Oreochromis niloticus: one gene and its partner. The protein of the gene in region 1 interacts with the protein of each later gene in a pairwise test. Links are inferred from orthologs where the notes say so. Each region holds a gene or a part of one and is shown on either strand. Other genes may lie near its edges. The genes, in order: gpn1 and gpn2.

Region 1 (8,108 bases):
GGCTGGGAATGCTTTGGAGTCTGTGAAAACAGAGAAAAGGCGCTCACTGCCCTTCAGCCGCGCCTGCAGCAAAGGGAAGATATATCAGTTTGTCACCTCATGGTTTGCAGTTTTTATTTAAAAAATAAAAAACAGATTTCCCATGCATGAAAGGAACTGCAGATATTCAAAAGTCTGTTCAGCTCATTTCTATATCTGTACTTTCATAGTTTCATAGTCCAGCCTCTCAGTTCATCCTTTTGTTTGACCAGTTCGAGCTCCTCCCCTGTAACTTTCCACCAGGCGTCTTCATCAGAGGACAAACAAGCCTCGGCTCTGTGCTGCAAACAGACAAATTTCAGGCCAAACTGAACCCAGTTTTTAATTCACGCTTGTCCACATCTGCTCCGCTCTGAGGACAAACTTTCTGTTTCTGTGTTTTAGAAGAGAAAACGACAGGAGTCGGTGTGGATCTACCAGCTTCACGCTGAGATGAGATCAGCCTTTGTCTTCTCTGAACTTTCTGGCTCACTTTACTCATCAGAACCCCAAAAAGGATAAAGGTACAGGTAGGAAGGCAATTTCTATCAATTTGTTTTGTTTCCAACCAACTACTTGCATTTATTTGTAGTACAATTATTAATATTAATTGACCTTTAAGTATTTGTAGGTAAATATAATTACAGATCACATAAACTGAAACTAATTACTGGGGAACTCTGCCCTTAGTCATGGGTGGTACGATAAAATATGGCCAGTTTCTTTCTGAAACACCTTCCGAAAGAAATGAATGGTGGTTTCAGACTTTTGCACTTACTCGACTAAGAGTACTGGTGTAGTATTTCTTACAGCGGGTTGTAAGTGCCTTTATTTCAGTAAATCTGCATCCTTTACTTCCTTCTTTCTCTTCTCTGAATCGGAAACCGCGTCGAATGTTCTGAATTAGTTTCATGCTGCTGTCATCAGACTGCCTGAGTTTGTAATGGACAAGTTTAAGGCTTCAGTTGAGCGTGCTCACAGAAAGCTTCATTCTCTGCAACGTGCTGTCTGCGTTTGATAAGATATGCTTTGCATGTTTGTACTGTACTGTACTGTTATTTCACCTTTTTCCAAAGGTATTAAAACACACAAAGACACAATAATAATAATAATAAGTAGGAAGTTCCTATAATTTTGTCACTTTGTTCATAATCTGGTCTTTGGAGAGATCTGCTTCTTGGAAAGAAAAGCCACTGGACTTCTTTAAGTTTCATTCGAGAAGCTTCTTTGCTGTAAAACTTAATGGTGGAGAGTCCCTGGTATTTAAACTCTACTGGGAGTTCTCCTTAAGAGGGTCGTTGACCCGTTGATCACGTGTGTGGGGGTCACTGTCAGCAGTGGTTTTGGGTGAAACCTTGCCTCACTCTGTCATGTGACTAATTGAAATCAGATGACACCAAAAAGTGGGCATTAAGGCGTCTGGGAAGGATCTCAAAACTGGATTATAGATGTCAGACAGTCAGTGTCGTAAGCCCCGCCCTCTGTCTAAAGAGGGTCGTTCACTCCATCTGTCTTCTCTGTCCAAAATGTGAATATTGGCATCCTTGAAAGAGTGACCTTTGCCTTTAGATGCAGCTGTACACACATATTAGTCATAATGATGTCATAATATATCAGGCATGATGAAAGTTTTCTGCATGTTAATTGGTCATTTTATACGATGGGAGTTACAGGTTAACTGTGCCAATCTAAACATCAGGAGTGTGTTTCCAAAACTGATCAACATTTATTCTGTTTCTGTGATCAGAGAAACACCTGGAGTGTTAATCAGTCTTCCCTGCACACCGGGAGTGATCATCATGGGGTCCAACAGCTCAAAGCGTCTGAGGCAGAAAACATTTGAAGGTCCCAAAAGACCAGAACAGCGAAAGGAATTTCCTTCAGCTGTGACACTGGTACAACCTCACCCGAGTGAGGAGAAGTTATTCAAGGAGCTGCAACACGTGGGGCTAAACTATGACTGGCTCCTTCAGGGGCACCAAAGTCCTGAAGCTGAAAAAGTACTACAACCGCCGCCAAATATTCCACAAGTTAAAACGCAAGAGGAAAAAGGCACGCAAACAGACAGGGGAAGTCTTCTGAAAGAGTCGCCTGTCGCGACCAGGTCTACGGCAGAAAAGGAGAGCAGCGGCAGAGAACTTGTGGATGGCATAAAGGCTGTATGGACCCCAGGCGAGCTCTACGGTCTTTTAAGAGATGCTCCTGACCCCATCAAAACACCCAGCGACTTCCACAGGTGGCTGCGTTTCACCTGCATGGTGTATCAGCCGTCTCCTGCTGAGCTCAAAAAGTTGCTGAAGTTAGTTTATAACCACAAGTGGGAAAACGTGAAGGAACATTTTGACTGGCCAGGAGTGGATGGCGAGGCCAGGTGGCGACGCACTTGTGATATGACAGCATGGCTCGACACACAGTGCGCCACCTCGATTAAAAACGCAGCCTGGAATGACCCTGAATTTGTGCCCCCTTGGATGATTCTTCAGAAACCTGGAGAGTCGGTGGCAGATTTCACTGAACGTTTCCACCGACTGTGGAATTCCACTATGAGTGAAGCAAATGTTTTTATGTTTAATCTTTACCTTGTAAATAAGTTGCAGCCTCACGTGGCGAAGCTTTTGAAGGATCATGTTGAGTGGGAAACTTTTACTTTTTCCAAGATCAAATTTATTTTAGAAAACATGGAATTAAAGGGCATGTTTAACTCAAAACATCAGCCATCTGTAACTCATCCGGGAGACTGGAGATCAGATCTGTTGGCACTGCCAGAGCCACCTCGAAGCAGCCAGACACACAGGAATAAGAGAAAAGATCGCTGCTTTTACTGCAGCAAGTTTGGACACTGGGCCAGGGAGTGCAGAGCCCGACGTCAGGAGTACTCACTCGAGTACAGTTCACAATGGATTGTACTCGAGTGAGCAACTGAGCTGAACTGAAAAAAGTAACACACAAAGATCTCATTTTCATACAAACATGTCACTAGGGTAGCTTTGTATGATTGACAGTTCAAAATAATCCTCATGGACTGACCACATTATAAAGTTAGCTTTGAGTGAGAGAGGAGCTCAAACAGCTTCTCCTAAACTGGACCCCTGCACCGTGTTTGTGCTGTTGGAGCCTTGTGGAGCATTTTTAATGACATCATGTGACCAATAATATGGCTGCTGTGAGGTCACTGTACTAACAGACCGTCCAAGGAGGCGGAGCTCCAGTTTGAAACTTTAGTAAACGGATGCAATTTGGCAATCAAACAAAGAGTGCTGGATGATACCTCAGCACACTCCTGGTACAAACAAACAATGACTGTGAAAAGAATAATGATGAAGCTTGAAGCTGAAAACAAAGGGTGACATCACAGTCGCTACATCCAGGTTTACTGGGTTTAGGATTTCTGCATCAAGGTCCAGCAGAAGGTAAAGAAGGATTATTTTTAATAGTGACTCATGCAAAGCTGCTCTAGGCTGAAATAATAAAAATATGAAATGATCTGAATAGGTCCATCTCAAGTTCACTTAAGGAAGCACAGGAGCATTTCAGGCAGTGTTTTTAGTTTGACTTCAGTCGAATAAAATATATTTGAAGGCCTAGTTTCAGTTCACTGTGATTGTGAGAGCTCACTGCTGTATTTCACATCCGACTGTGACCTGCAGTGAAACGCTGCAGAACAGATTTTGGAGAGATTTTCTCATTTGGAAAACAAAAAGTCAAGGACAGAACGCTGTCCTTGACAAAATACAGCTGCAGATCACAATGTTCTACAAATAAGAGAAGCAGTGACAGCTCGGTGAGTCTCAATCCTGCTCAGCTGCAGCTCCTGAAAGTGCTCGTCGTCAGATTTCTAAATCTTTCATTTTGTCTTGAATATTTTTGTAGTTTTGGTGGTTTAAACTGGAAAATGAATTTCTGCTTTGCACCATAATCAGAAATCTTTTACACTTTTTGATGTTTTAAATTCTTTTGATAGCTGACTCTGACTTTTGATGTTTTCTTTTTTGTCGTATCCTATTATTTCATATTTTTGGTCTCATTATTTCTCATTCTTAACTTTGATTATTATATTGAATGGCTGGTGCTCTTGTCTGAGATAGACTGTGTTATCAGCTGATTAGTATGAGGCTTTTGCTTATGGATGGTGTATTGTACTTTTAATCTGCACTGAAGCTTTAATTACATGTATGCTCACATTTTTCATTTGCAATAAAATCACTGAAAAGGCTGGCTGTTTCACCTCGTTCACATTCATTCATGTGGCAAAATTTAAAATCTACACATTTAAAATCTGTTTTTATGCAAATGTTTATTACATTGAAGTTTTATCCACTGATGGAGGAGACACGACAGAGGTCTTATTGTGAAAATCATCCACCACACTTCTAGCAATTTTCATTTGACGAAGAATTGACTTCTTTTAGAGTTTTATTCAAGGAAAGTAAAATTTCAGAATATTTCTAGACTATAATGAGAAAAATAAGTATTTATTGGTTTGTAATTTTTTTTAAGGGACTGCTAGTGATACATGTGAAAATTCCAGTTAGGTATATTAAAATTAATTACTTAAAATATTTGCAAAACATAAAACTAGTAAAGTCAATATTCTTTTAAAATACGGAAATATATATAATATAGAAATGATTAGTTATTTATATACTGCGTTACTAATAAATTATAAACTACTAAAATGTACTAAAAGTAATGTTTCTAATCCACAAAACATAAGAAAAAAATACCTATTTTTTAAGACCCGTGAACAGCATAAATATTTTACTCTCTGCAGTCATGTGTTTTTTATTTATATTAATGTATCTGTAAAATATTCTAATAAAGTTTCCTTGTGTTTTCATCATGGTTTATTAAACACACTGCTGCCCTCTGGCTTTCGTTTTGAACACCGCGTTTCCATTTTACGACAGCGGCTGCGTGTGGACGGCAGCCGGTTACTATAATATCTCTCCAGCATCATGGCAGCGGCGGCGGAGTGTCCCGGCACTGATGCGGCTTTCCCGGAGACGGCAGGTGGCAGCGGGGTCCCGGGAGCTGCTGTCGGGGACAAACCCGTGTGTCTCATCGTGCTCGGCATGGCGGGCTCCGGGAAAACCACCTTCGTCCAGGTGAGTCCCGGTCCCTTAGCGGCTAACGCAGTTAGCAGCATGAGTTAGCTTCTTCAGAGAGACCGGAAGGTAAATAAACGAGCAGCGACAGGTACAGGTTTGTGAGCAGGTTTACATCAGAGGAGGAGGAAGAGCTTTTTTTTTTATTATTTAATTCCAGCTAAAACTCAAGTACCAACCAGCTTTCTGTGGCACACCGAGGACCACACGAAGCCCCCAAACTGCGCACAAACCCATTGGCATCAAATAAAATCAGTTTGATTTCAGTCAGGTAGGAGAGGCAGCAGAAGGTTAGTTATCCTGCAACATGAAACAGCCTTTAATAAAATAACTTAGAGAAAGCATAAAAGCTCAATAGAATATAAGTAAGGTCAGCATGGAATGGATTACATAGTATTAGCACATTTAAATAGAAAACAATAGAATATAGAGTAGAGTCAAACTTTACTAAATTGTATTTAGCCCAATAAATGTTAAAATAGCTTACTAAAGTCACTAAATTAAACCAATGACACCCTGTGACTGATGTTTGCTTCTCCTTCAGTCTGAGCTCAGAGATGAAGATTTTCTAAGCGGCTGATGTTAACATCTTCAGCTTCCCTCCTCTTCCTCAGAACATTTCCTCCGTATAAACAGTGTTTCCTGTTTGTCTGCCTGTTATGAAGTGAGCCGCAGTCACGAGTAATCTGAGTACTTTTCTGTTTCCTGCAGAGGCTGACGGCTCACCTGCATTCCCTCAAAGCTCCTCCATATGTCATCAACCTGGACCCCGCCGTCCACGAGGTCCCTTTCCCTGCAAACATTGGTAGGATCCATCTGTTTGTTGGATGCTACTTATTTAAACAAGAACTTAAAACTCAATGTGGGATGCTGGATTTGCAGAAGTGCGTTTAATCTTTGCATTACACATCACAGCGAAAGCAAATAACCTTCACGTGTTTTTGTGATTCAAACACAGCCGGAAAGACTTTTAGCTCCACGTCATCTTCAGCGTCTGTTAGTTTTCTCTGTCTGTCCTCTTGCTTTCAGACATCAGGGACACGGTGAACTACAAGGAGGTGATGAAGCAGTACGGCCTCGGACCCAACGGTGGCATCGTGACGTCACTCAACCTGTTCGCCACCCGTTTTGATCAGGTGACTCACAAATCTCAACATCTCGCGGTACGAATGTCCATACCAGACAAACCATTCGGATCCTGACTTTGTGTTTGTTTTCTTCAGGTGATGCAGTTCATCGAGAAGAAGCGACAGAATCACCGGTCAGTATGTAGCTGCTTATTTGCAGCTAAATGCAGTTAATGTTTTAAGGACTGTGAGGGACCCCAGCGGCTTCCTGTGTGTGGTTGTGATGCACAACACTCCAAAATATTAAAGGAACACCTTAAAACACAGCAGATCTCCATCCATCCATCCATCTTCATCCGCAGATCTCAATGAGGGTAATAGGTTAGGAATAATGGAAATTGAAATGATCCGCCTGCACTGGGCTAAAGTCAAACACACCCCAAAAATCAAAGTAAAAAAATCGATGCAGGCCCGTTTTGTTCAGATTTCATTGCAGGAGTTCAGAAATGATTCTCGGGAGTTTGAATCCCCCCCACGTGTTTATATGAATGCCTGACGGCGCCGGGGTGATGTCCTAAGATAAGATAAGATAACCTTTATTAGTCCCACACGTGGGAAATTTGTTTTGTCACAGCAGGAAGTGGACAGTGCAAAAGTTACGAAGCAAAAATTAGAATACAATAAGAATAAATACTGTACACAACTGTACATAATAGAATAAAATAAAATACTGTATACAGTAGAATAAGATAAAATAGAATAAAATATACAATAAGATAAAAATAGAATACAAATGCTATATACAACTGAGTAAAAATACAACGATGCCAGAAAAGATTATTGCACTTAGTGTTATTGCACATGTGTGGATGTGTGTGTTTGATCAGTTGAAGTCTTTGTTGTGGAGTCTGACAGCAGTGGGGAGGAAAGACCTGCGAAATCTCTCCATCCCACACCGTGGGTGCCGCAGCCACTGAAGGAGCTGCTCAGTGCTGTCACAGTCTCCTGCATGGGGTGGGAGATGTTGTCCAACAGGGATGACAGCTTAGCCACCATTCTCCTGTCACTCACCACCTCCACTGGGTCCAGAGGGCATCCTAGAACAGAGCTGGCCCTGCGGATCAGCCTGTTCAGTCTCTTCCTGTCCCCAGCAGAGATGCTGCCGCCCCAGCAGACCACACCATAGAAGATGGCTGAGGCCACCACAGAGTCATAGAAGGTCTTCAGGAGTGGGCCCTCCACTCCAAACGACCTGAGTCTCCGCAGCAGGTACAGCCTGCTCTGCCCTTTCCTGTAGAGGGCGTCTGAGTTATGAGTCCAGTCCAGTTTGTTGTTCAGATGAACACCAAGGTACCTGTAGCTGTCCACAGCCTCGATGTCCATACCTTGGATGTTCAGTGGTTGCAGTGGAGGATGTTTGTGCCTGCGGAAGTCTACCACCAGCTCCTTGGTTTTACTGGCATTGATCTGGAGGTAGTTCTGCTGGCACCAGTCCACAAAGTCCTGAGTCAGTCCTCTGTACTCCTTGTCGTCCCCATCAGTGATGAGGCCGACTATTGCAGAGTCATCAGAGAACTTCTGCAGGAAGCACTGGGTGGAGTTGTGGGAGAAGTCTGCAGTGTAGATGGTGAAGAGGAACGGAGCCAGAACCGTTCCCTGTGGGGCCCCCGTACTGCAGACGACCCTGTCCGACACACAGCCCTGAGTCCTCACATACTGTGGTCGGTCGGTGAGGTAGTCCAGAATCCAGGTAGTGAGGTGATGGTCCACTCCAGAGTTCTCCAGCTTGTCCTTCAGAACCGAGGGAAGAATAGTGTTAAAGGCACTGGAGAAATCAAAGAACATGATTCTCACAGTGCTCCCAGCGGTCTCCAGGTGAGCGAGGGAACGATGTAGGAGGTGGATGATGGCATCATCC
Region 2 (7,083 bases), on another chromosome or scaffold:
CCTCAAGTGAGATTCACTTTAGAAAGAGGATGACAAAGCCTTTTTGAAAATGTGTAAGCACACATTTCTCAGATTCTTCTTTGTGTGTTATAAGGTGTCATAATGACATAAGCAGCACGCACATGCAAAGCAATAAATCCTCAAACTTCGCTGACCTCTAACACTTTGCAGCTTTGCATTTCTCTCTTTCTCAAAGTCGAAAGCTCTTTTATTTTTGGCTGCTTTAGGCACCATAAGTGGGTAACCAAGGTAACTAATGGCTGCTTAAACTAAGAGCATGTACAAAGCATGAGTGCCAACCCGCCTCATGTATAACTCACTGGTGCCACATGCAGTGATGGCACATGGTCTAGACTCCTGTCTCCATGAACACACAGGATCAAATCACTCTCTATAAAGAAGCGATGTCAGGCAACGAGTGCAGAGTGCAGACAGCCCTCTCCCCCAATCCATCTGCACAAAATTGATCCAACCTTCAATTTGAAACGCTAAAAGCGATTTATGATTTAACGGTTCAAACAATGAAATATGAGGCATGTGACTTTTAGAAACACTTAAAGGGCTAACACAAATGAACCATGACGTCTGGTCAGTATGGATGCTTTATGACTACTTCAGAAGAAAGAACTCTTGTTTTGCACTCAACATCTAACAGAAGCATGCAAATAAAGATGTAGATACATTAATTAAGTGATAACAATGAAAATCTGTCGAGTTCACTGTCAAGACATGGCATTTGTTTTTTATGCGTACTCTCTAGACCTTTTAGTGGTCCACACAAACTGAACCCATCCATCCACACACTTTCTTAACCGCTAATCCAATTCAGGGTTGTGTCAGGGCTGGCACGTATCCCAGCTATCGCTGGATGGGGTACATCCCGGACAGGTCCCCAGTCCCTGACACAGAGATAGACAATCACTCACACTATATAGCCAGTTTAACCTAACGTGTAGGTCTTTGGACTGTGGGAGGATGCTGGAGTACCCGGAGAGAGCCCACACGAGCACAGAGAGAACATGCAAACTGCACACTGAAAGGCTCCAGCTGGCCGTCAGGTTGGAACCAGGAGCCCTTTTGCTGTGAGGCGACAGTGCCACCCCCAAACTGAAATCTTGTGGTGTCAGTTCTCGATATAAGTGTAGGAAATGTTGGATACTGTTAGTCACTCAACATTAGAGCAATGTATTACACATTCCACTGGTCTTTAACCAACAAACTCCCCAGTGCAAAGCCCGTGTGATGTTGGCATGTGTGAATAAGGCAGGCCAGCACATCTGAAGCAGACTGAGACTGTGAGAAAGGATAACTGTGGAAATTATCCCCACTAGATTCTCCCAAAACTGCCAGAACTTCATGTGTGAAAGCAGCTTATTTTATTTATTTAATTCACCGAAGCATATTCTAATTTACTGGGAGTTAAACAGACATTACCAGCTCTTCTTTTGCAGTTAATACCAAAAGCAGCACTGGTACCTGTACATTGAGAGGGACAAAGGACACAAGGCTGTAATCTTGTACGACCTCTGCCAACTTTTCATTTAGGTGGCGGAATTTTTTAAAGAAGGGGTCTGCAGCCAAGTGATCGAGAAGATAGGTCAGGTCCATGACCTCTGTGTAGAAGTCAAGGTTGAAGGCTGGAAAAGAATACAAGACAAATGTTACCAAGGATGATGATGAATAGCAACCAGTTGTGAAATTCAACAAATCAGCTGGCAAACAATGCCGGTATAGTTTTTTTTCTTTCATCCTACTTTCTTACAAGGGAAACAAAGAAATGTGATTTGTAAAAACACCTTTAATGTCTTAATCTCACTGTCTTAGAACATTTATCCAGCACAAATCAGATAATCTCTGACTACAGCCTGTAAAATGTGTTTAAAGCAAACCCTTATTAACTCACCCAGCTTGCCATACTGCTCCATCAAGTCCATCTTGGAGAGAACATTGACATGGGGAAGCTCGACATGCAGCATTGTAGACAGCGAGGTGCACAGCACCGAAATGAACTTGGCTGGATCAGCACAGTAATGAGAGTCCACGAGGTGCACCGCTGTGAGCTAAAAGAGAGGACATCCGCACAAAATTTATCTTATGATGTTATTATGAATTCACCTTGTTGTATTAAAGCTGTGTCTACATGATGGCTGTGTGGGTAAGGTAGTACCTGTGAAGGCTCAGCAGAAATACGATAATAATGATGAAGCTCACCCTGAAATTCCACTTGGCCAGCTGTGAGAAGATATTCTTCACTGAGCTCTGGTGGGTGTAGAGCTCCACCTGTCCAGGACAGTCAAACAAGAAGTAACAGTCACTGTACTGTTTCAGCTTCTCCTCCAACCAGTCCAGATTTGCTTCCACGTACTCCATGCAGTAGAGAAGTCCACCATTGGGCCCCAGCTTTAAACCTTCCATGACATCGTCCAAAGTCACCAGCTCTGAGACATCTACCGCACATGAATAAGGTATCCCTTCATTGGCTGGATCCATGTTTACAACCACCACCTTGCGTCCCAGGTGAGTCAGAAACTCTTGCATCCCTTGGCAGTAGGTGGTTTTCCCCGAACCCGGGGGCCCAATAACCACCTGACCGAAACGCAGGGAGGGCTTCACTTGTGTCTGCTTGGACATGGCTTCAGACTCGCATTAGATGGTGCTAGGATGTCCTGTGCAGAGTACCAAATGGGGTGTTGGCTGGCAGGGTCACAGGATTTGGTATCAAGAGTTCAGTTTTTCTTCCACCAACTACATTAAAAACTCATTAAACACTAAATAAACCTGGACCTGCCATCCACTCCGGTCAGACAAGACTTGTACAAAGTAGCTATTTAAAGGTTTATGTACGATAAATCGTAAGTCTACTCAAAACATATGTGCAGTTGCTTAATATAATGCTGACTTTTACTGTAAATTACAGCAATACTGACTGATATTTACCGTTTGCTGACGCTATATTTACATGCGTATAGAAGTCGCTAACACATGCTAACGCTACTCGGAAGTACATCCGAGTTACGTAACTGGCGTGTCAAAATAAAAGCCGGTTGTTAACATGGCGTGACGTGCAGGACTAATTTCAGACTACATTTTTTTCTAAATCATCTCATCCTTGCTCACACACCACATTATTCCGTGATTAATAGCTTGGTACAATTTATACACATGTATATAAGTTAATATAGGAAAACTAGACTTTGTGTGAGATTAAAAATTAGAGACACTAATCACATGAAAAAAAGGATTTTAACATATACATATATATATCTATAGATACAGATATAGGTGTGTGTTTAAAAAAAAAAAAAAAGACTTCCATGACGTTAAAATGGTTTCAATAAAATTTTATTAAAGTCATCTTTGTGATCTTTGTGGGCCAATGCTGCCACCTGGTTGCCACCCTCTGTACTTCATACTTGTGTTCGGCTGCCGTCTCAGCAAGGTATCGCCTCTGTCTATGTCTTTGGGTTTATCATACACTGTAGTTATATGATAATCTGTTCTGGCCTTTTTTACAGGATGTAAGACCAATTTCTCTCCATGATACCTGCAAAAAAGAAAAGGAAAAACCCCCCACAGCATCAGCATCACCTGCCTCACATACCAAAGCTTAAAATTATATTAGAAGGTGGCTGTTAAGCATCCACACTGGAAGCAAAGTGAGTGACATCCTGCAGTTTCAAGTGACTAAGGCCGAAATAACTGCTGGCGATGGGAAGCGGGTTGGATGTAAACTTATGTTAACTTCTTTTAACTTCCTCCATAGGATCGAAACAACTACCAATGAGAGTGAAGAATAGCAGTATTGATTGACACTTGAGCCTGGAACAAGCGACCTGCCGTCAGCTGCAGAGCAAAGTCGAAAAGGGAATTGTTTCCAGCGTAGACGCAGCTTTAGTTGATTGTGCTCATGCTCACCCAAAGCCTCTTTTACAGTTGGGATGTTGCCCCTCATTTTCAAGTGCTTCAGAAATTCCAATCTGGCTGTTTCCCAGGCCTTCACCTTCCCTCCAGCCCTGTTTCTCCATCACACGACGCCCAAAGCCCTAATCAGAGAAAAAATATATGTGCATTTATCTGACGTGTAACAAGAGGAAAGATTAGATTAAGTTATATGTGATGGCAACCTCCTCACCTTAGTGAACCTCTCAAAGCGGCCAATAGACTGATTGTGCCCCGATCCATCTTCATGACCCTCCCTAAGCCTCTTTTCATACCGCATTGTGACGTAATCTCGAGCATCCATGTCACCTCCATCTGTAAAAGGACTTGGTTAAAGGAAATCTGACCCTGCATTAATAGAGCACAGTTTAGTTAATTAGGGTAAAAAAAAAAAAAAAAAAGTTACCTTTATCATAGTAAACACTCATGTCAACATCCCAGTCATCGGCAGTTTGTTCATCAAAGTCTGAAAAACGAGAGAAACACACATGAATGTAATCACACAGTCGCTTTTGTTTTGTTAGCTATTTGTTCATGATGTAAATCTCTGGTTACACCACATCCCTCTATTGAATTGAGATCTGGTGACTGCCATTTGAGTACAATGAACTCATTGTCATGTTCAAGAAACCAGTTTATGATGATCTCAGTGTTTTCACATGGCTTGTATTCTGCTGGAAATGGGTACACTGTGGTCAAAAAGATGGATCTACATGGTGAGTAGCAACACAAAAGTAGACTGTGACATTTAAATGATGGTCAGTTGGTACGAAGAATCCCAAAGTGTGCTAAGAAAATATTCCACACCCCAGCAACCTGAACCGTTGACACAAGGCAGGATGAATCCATGCTTTCATGTTGGTTACTCCCAATTCTGATGTTCCAATGTTTCCAAAGTTTTTTTCCAGTCTTCTTTTGCCCAGAGTTGTTGAACTTTTGTGAACATCAGTTTCCTGTTCTTAGCAGACAGGAGTGGCACTCAGTGTGGACATCTGCTGCTGCAGCCCATCTGCTTCAAGGTTTAACATGTTCAGAGATGCTGTTCTGCCCCCCCTTTTTGTAACAAGTGATTATTTAAACTACTGTTGTCTGGTTGTTCTCCTCTGACACCAAATGAGGCATTTTCACCCACAATTTGCTGCTCACTTTATATTTTCTTGTTTTTGGACCGTTTTCTGTAAACCCGACAGATGGTTGTGTGCGAAAAACACCGGAAGATCAGCAGTTTCTGAAATACTCAGGCCAACCTGTCTGATAGCAACAACTATGTTTCAAGTTACTTAAACGATCTTTCTTCCCTATTCTGATGCTTGGTTTAAGCTTCAGCAGGTCGTCCTGACCACGTTCGCATGCCTAAACTCATTCAGTTGCTGGCATGTGATTGGCTGATGGAATTTTTGAATTAGCAAGCTACTGAAGAGGTGTATCTAACAAAGCGGCCAGTGAGTATATTTGCAATTATCTTTTAATGTATGTTATTGTAAGGCAGAATTTTGTTTTCAGCATCTCGACTGAATTGATTTCTTATACTAATTAACACATACACACACTTTCAGTTTGCCTTTCCACACCTATTTTACCTAAAGTTTGCTTAATAACCTGCACACCCCATTGCTCGTTTATTAACATTATATAGTATGCAAGCCTTTTTCTTCAAAGTGAATTAGTGTTTTTGGTGCCTACCTCCTTCTTCCTCTTGCCAGTACTGAGCATCAGTGTAGAACACCAGACCTGAGCCTCCTTTTTCCCACTTCAGCTCAATCTCTTCTTCAAACAGTCTCTCTTTGGTTCGCTCCTGGCTTGTTACATCCTCATGCAAAGCCTCGTGGCGTTCCCACTCCTCACAGCAGTCATCATCCTACAATCAATCACATGAAGAAATTAGCATCTACAATAAAGGGATGATGGTTTTAGTTAGGCTGCGCCTATTGGACAGCCGACACAAACTAAAACCAATACATTTATCCGACACGCTGACAGACAGCTGGTTGATAGGTATGAACTGAACCTACATCATCAGCATTCGACTGTGCATCCTCTTCCTCTGCGTCTTCTTTCTGTGCTTCATCAGCCTCAGTGGTTTCTGTGTTATCATCCAGCTGCCTCGATCCTAAGGATGAACCAGGCAAAGTACCTGGTCCTGATATTTCATGTCCAGCAGCTGTTAATACAGTCTGTTCTGTGGCTGGAAGTGTGCAAGTGTCATGGTACTGGAAGGGCACGTTCCCATAGCGACGGTTGGAACTCGTCTTGGGGAAAGTGAGCCCCAGTTTCCGAATGAGGCGTGGAGGCAGGCGGCAGGCTTGGATGAGCTGGAGAAACACTTTTACGGGTGTGCCCACATTCCCGTTCTGCATCAGAGCAGGTGGATTAAGTTCGGAGAGGCTTCTGAGGTCGGCCTCTGTGAATCGCTCCGTTAAGGAAACACGGTGCCGCTGTTCATACTTTGTTTTATAGGGGAAAGATCCGTCATCTGAAAGAAAGAAAAAATAATAATACATGTAAAAACAGTGACAAAAACCACATGATGTGAAAAGTTCATGCATCTCTTACTTCTAGGCTGGGTCATTGTAATTCCTTACTGTCAGGTTCTCCTAAAAACTTCCCATAAAGCCTTCAGTGAAAACCAAAACAAAACAAAACGCTGCAACGAGAGTGCAGACAGGGACCACAAAGAGAGATCATATTTTTCCCCATACTGGCTTCTCTTCACTGGCTTCTTGTTAAAACCAGAACTGAATTTTAAATCCTTTTCCTCACATACAAAGCCGCCATCTTATCTTAAAGACCTTAAAGTTTAATATCATCCCAGTAGCACTCTTAGCAGGCTTATGATTTGTGGAGTTTCCAAAAGTAGAATGGGAGTCAGAGCCTTTAGCTGTCAGATCCTCCCCAGTGGATCCAGGAGACAGACACCTCTTCTACGTTGAAAGTTAGGATTTAAACTTTCCTTATTGATAAAGCTTATAGTTAACAAGATAGTCATAATTGTTTTTTGCTACAGGCTCAAGGTGCTGGGCTGAGGCTTCTCATGATGCACTGAGCATATAGTCTCCATTTCCCATCTTTTCACTCCCCATATGTTTAATATGCCACTACTGCATGATCTTAACCTTTTTTTAGTCCTGCTTGTTGTCTATATGC

What was found.
Region 2: the proteins of gpn1 (region 1) and gpn2 interact in binary tests that used the Homo sapiens proteins (3 or more experiments, as listed by UniProt). The link is inferred for Oreochromis niloticus from reciprocal best matches to the Homo sapiens genes GPN1 and GPN2.

Annotation. Positions count from the first base shown.
Region 1 is NC_031965.2:38,255,217-38,263,324, reverse strand, and holds the start of gpn1 (GPN-loop GTPase 1), read left to right. Parts: upstream 1-4,933; 5' UTR 4,934-4,973; coding exon 4,974-5,123; intron 5,124-5,834; coding exon 5,835-5,928; intron 5,929-6,152; coding exon 6,153-6,259; intron 6,260-6,346; coding exon 6,347-6,384; intron 6,385-8,108. Other genes in the region: uncharacterized protein LOC102076855, read left to right, coding at 1,818-2,933. UniProt on the Homo sapiens protein: Small GTPase required for proper nuclear import of RNA polymerase II (RNAPII). May act at an RNAP assembly step prior to nuclear import.
Region 2 is NC_031976.2:7,480,775-7,487,857, forward strand, and holds the start of gpn2 (GPN-loop GTPase 2), read right to left. Parts: upstream 3,040-7,083; 5' UTR 2,938-3,039; exon of another isoform or gene 2,667-2,937; 5' UTR 2,632-2,666; coding exon 2,212-2,631; intron 2,061-2,211; coding exon 1,904-2,060; intron 1,638-1,903; coding exon 1,477-1,637; intron 1-1,476. Other genes in the region: gpatch3 (G patch domain-containing protein 3), read right to left, coding at 3,352-3,544, 3,916-4,043, 4,133-4,254, 4,346-4,405, 5,623-5,797, 5,952-6,412. UniProt on the Homo sapiens protein: Small GTPase required for proper localization of RNA polymerase II and III (RNAPII and RNAPIII). May act at an RNAP assembly step prior to nuclear import.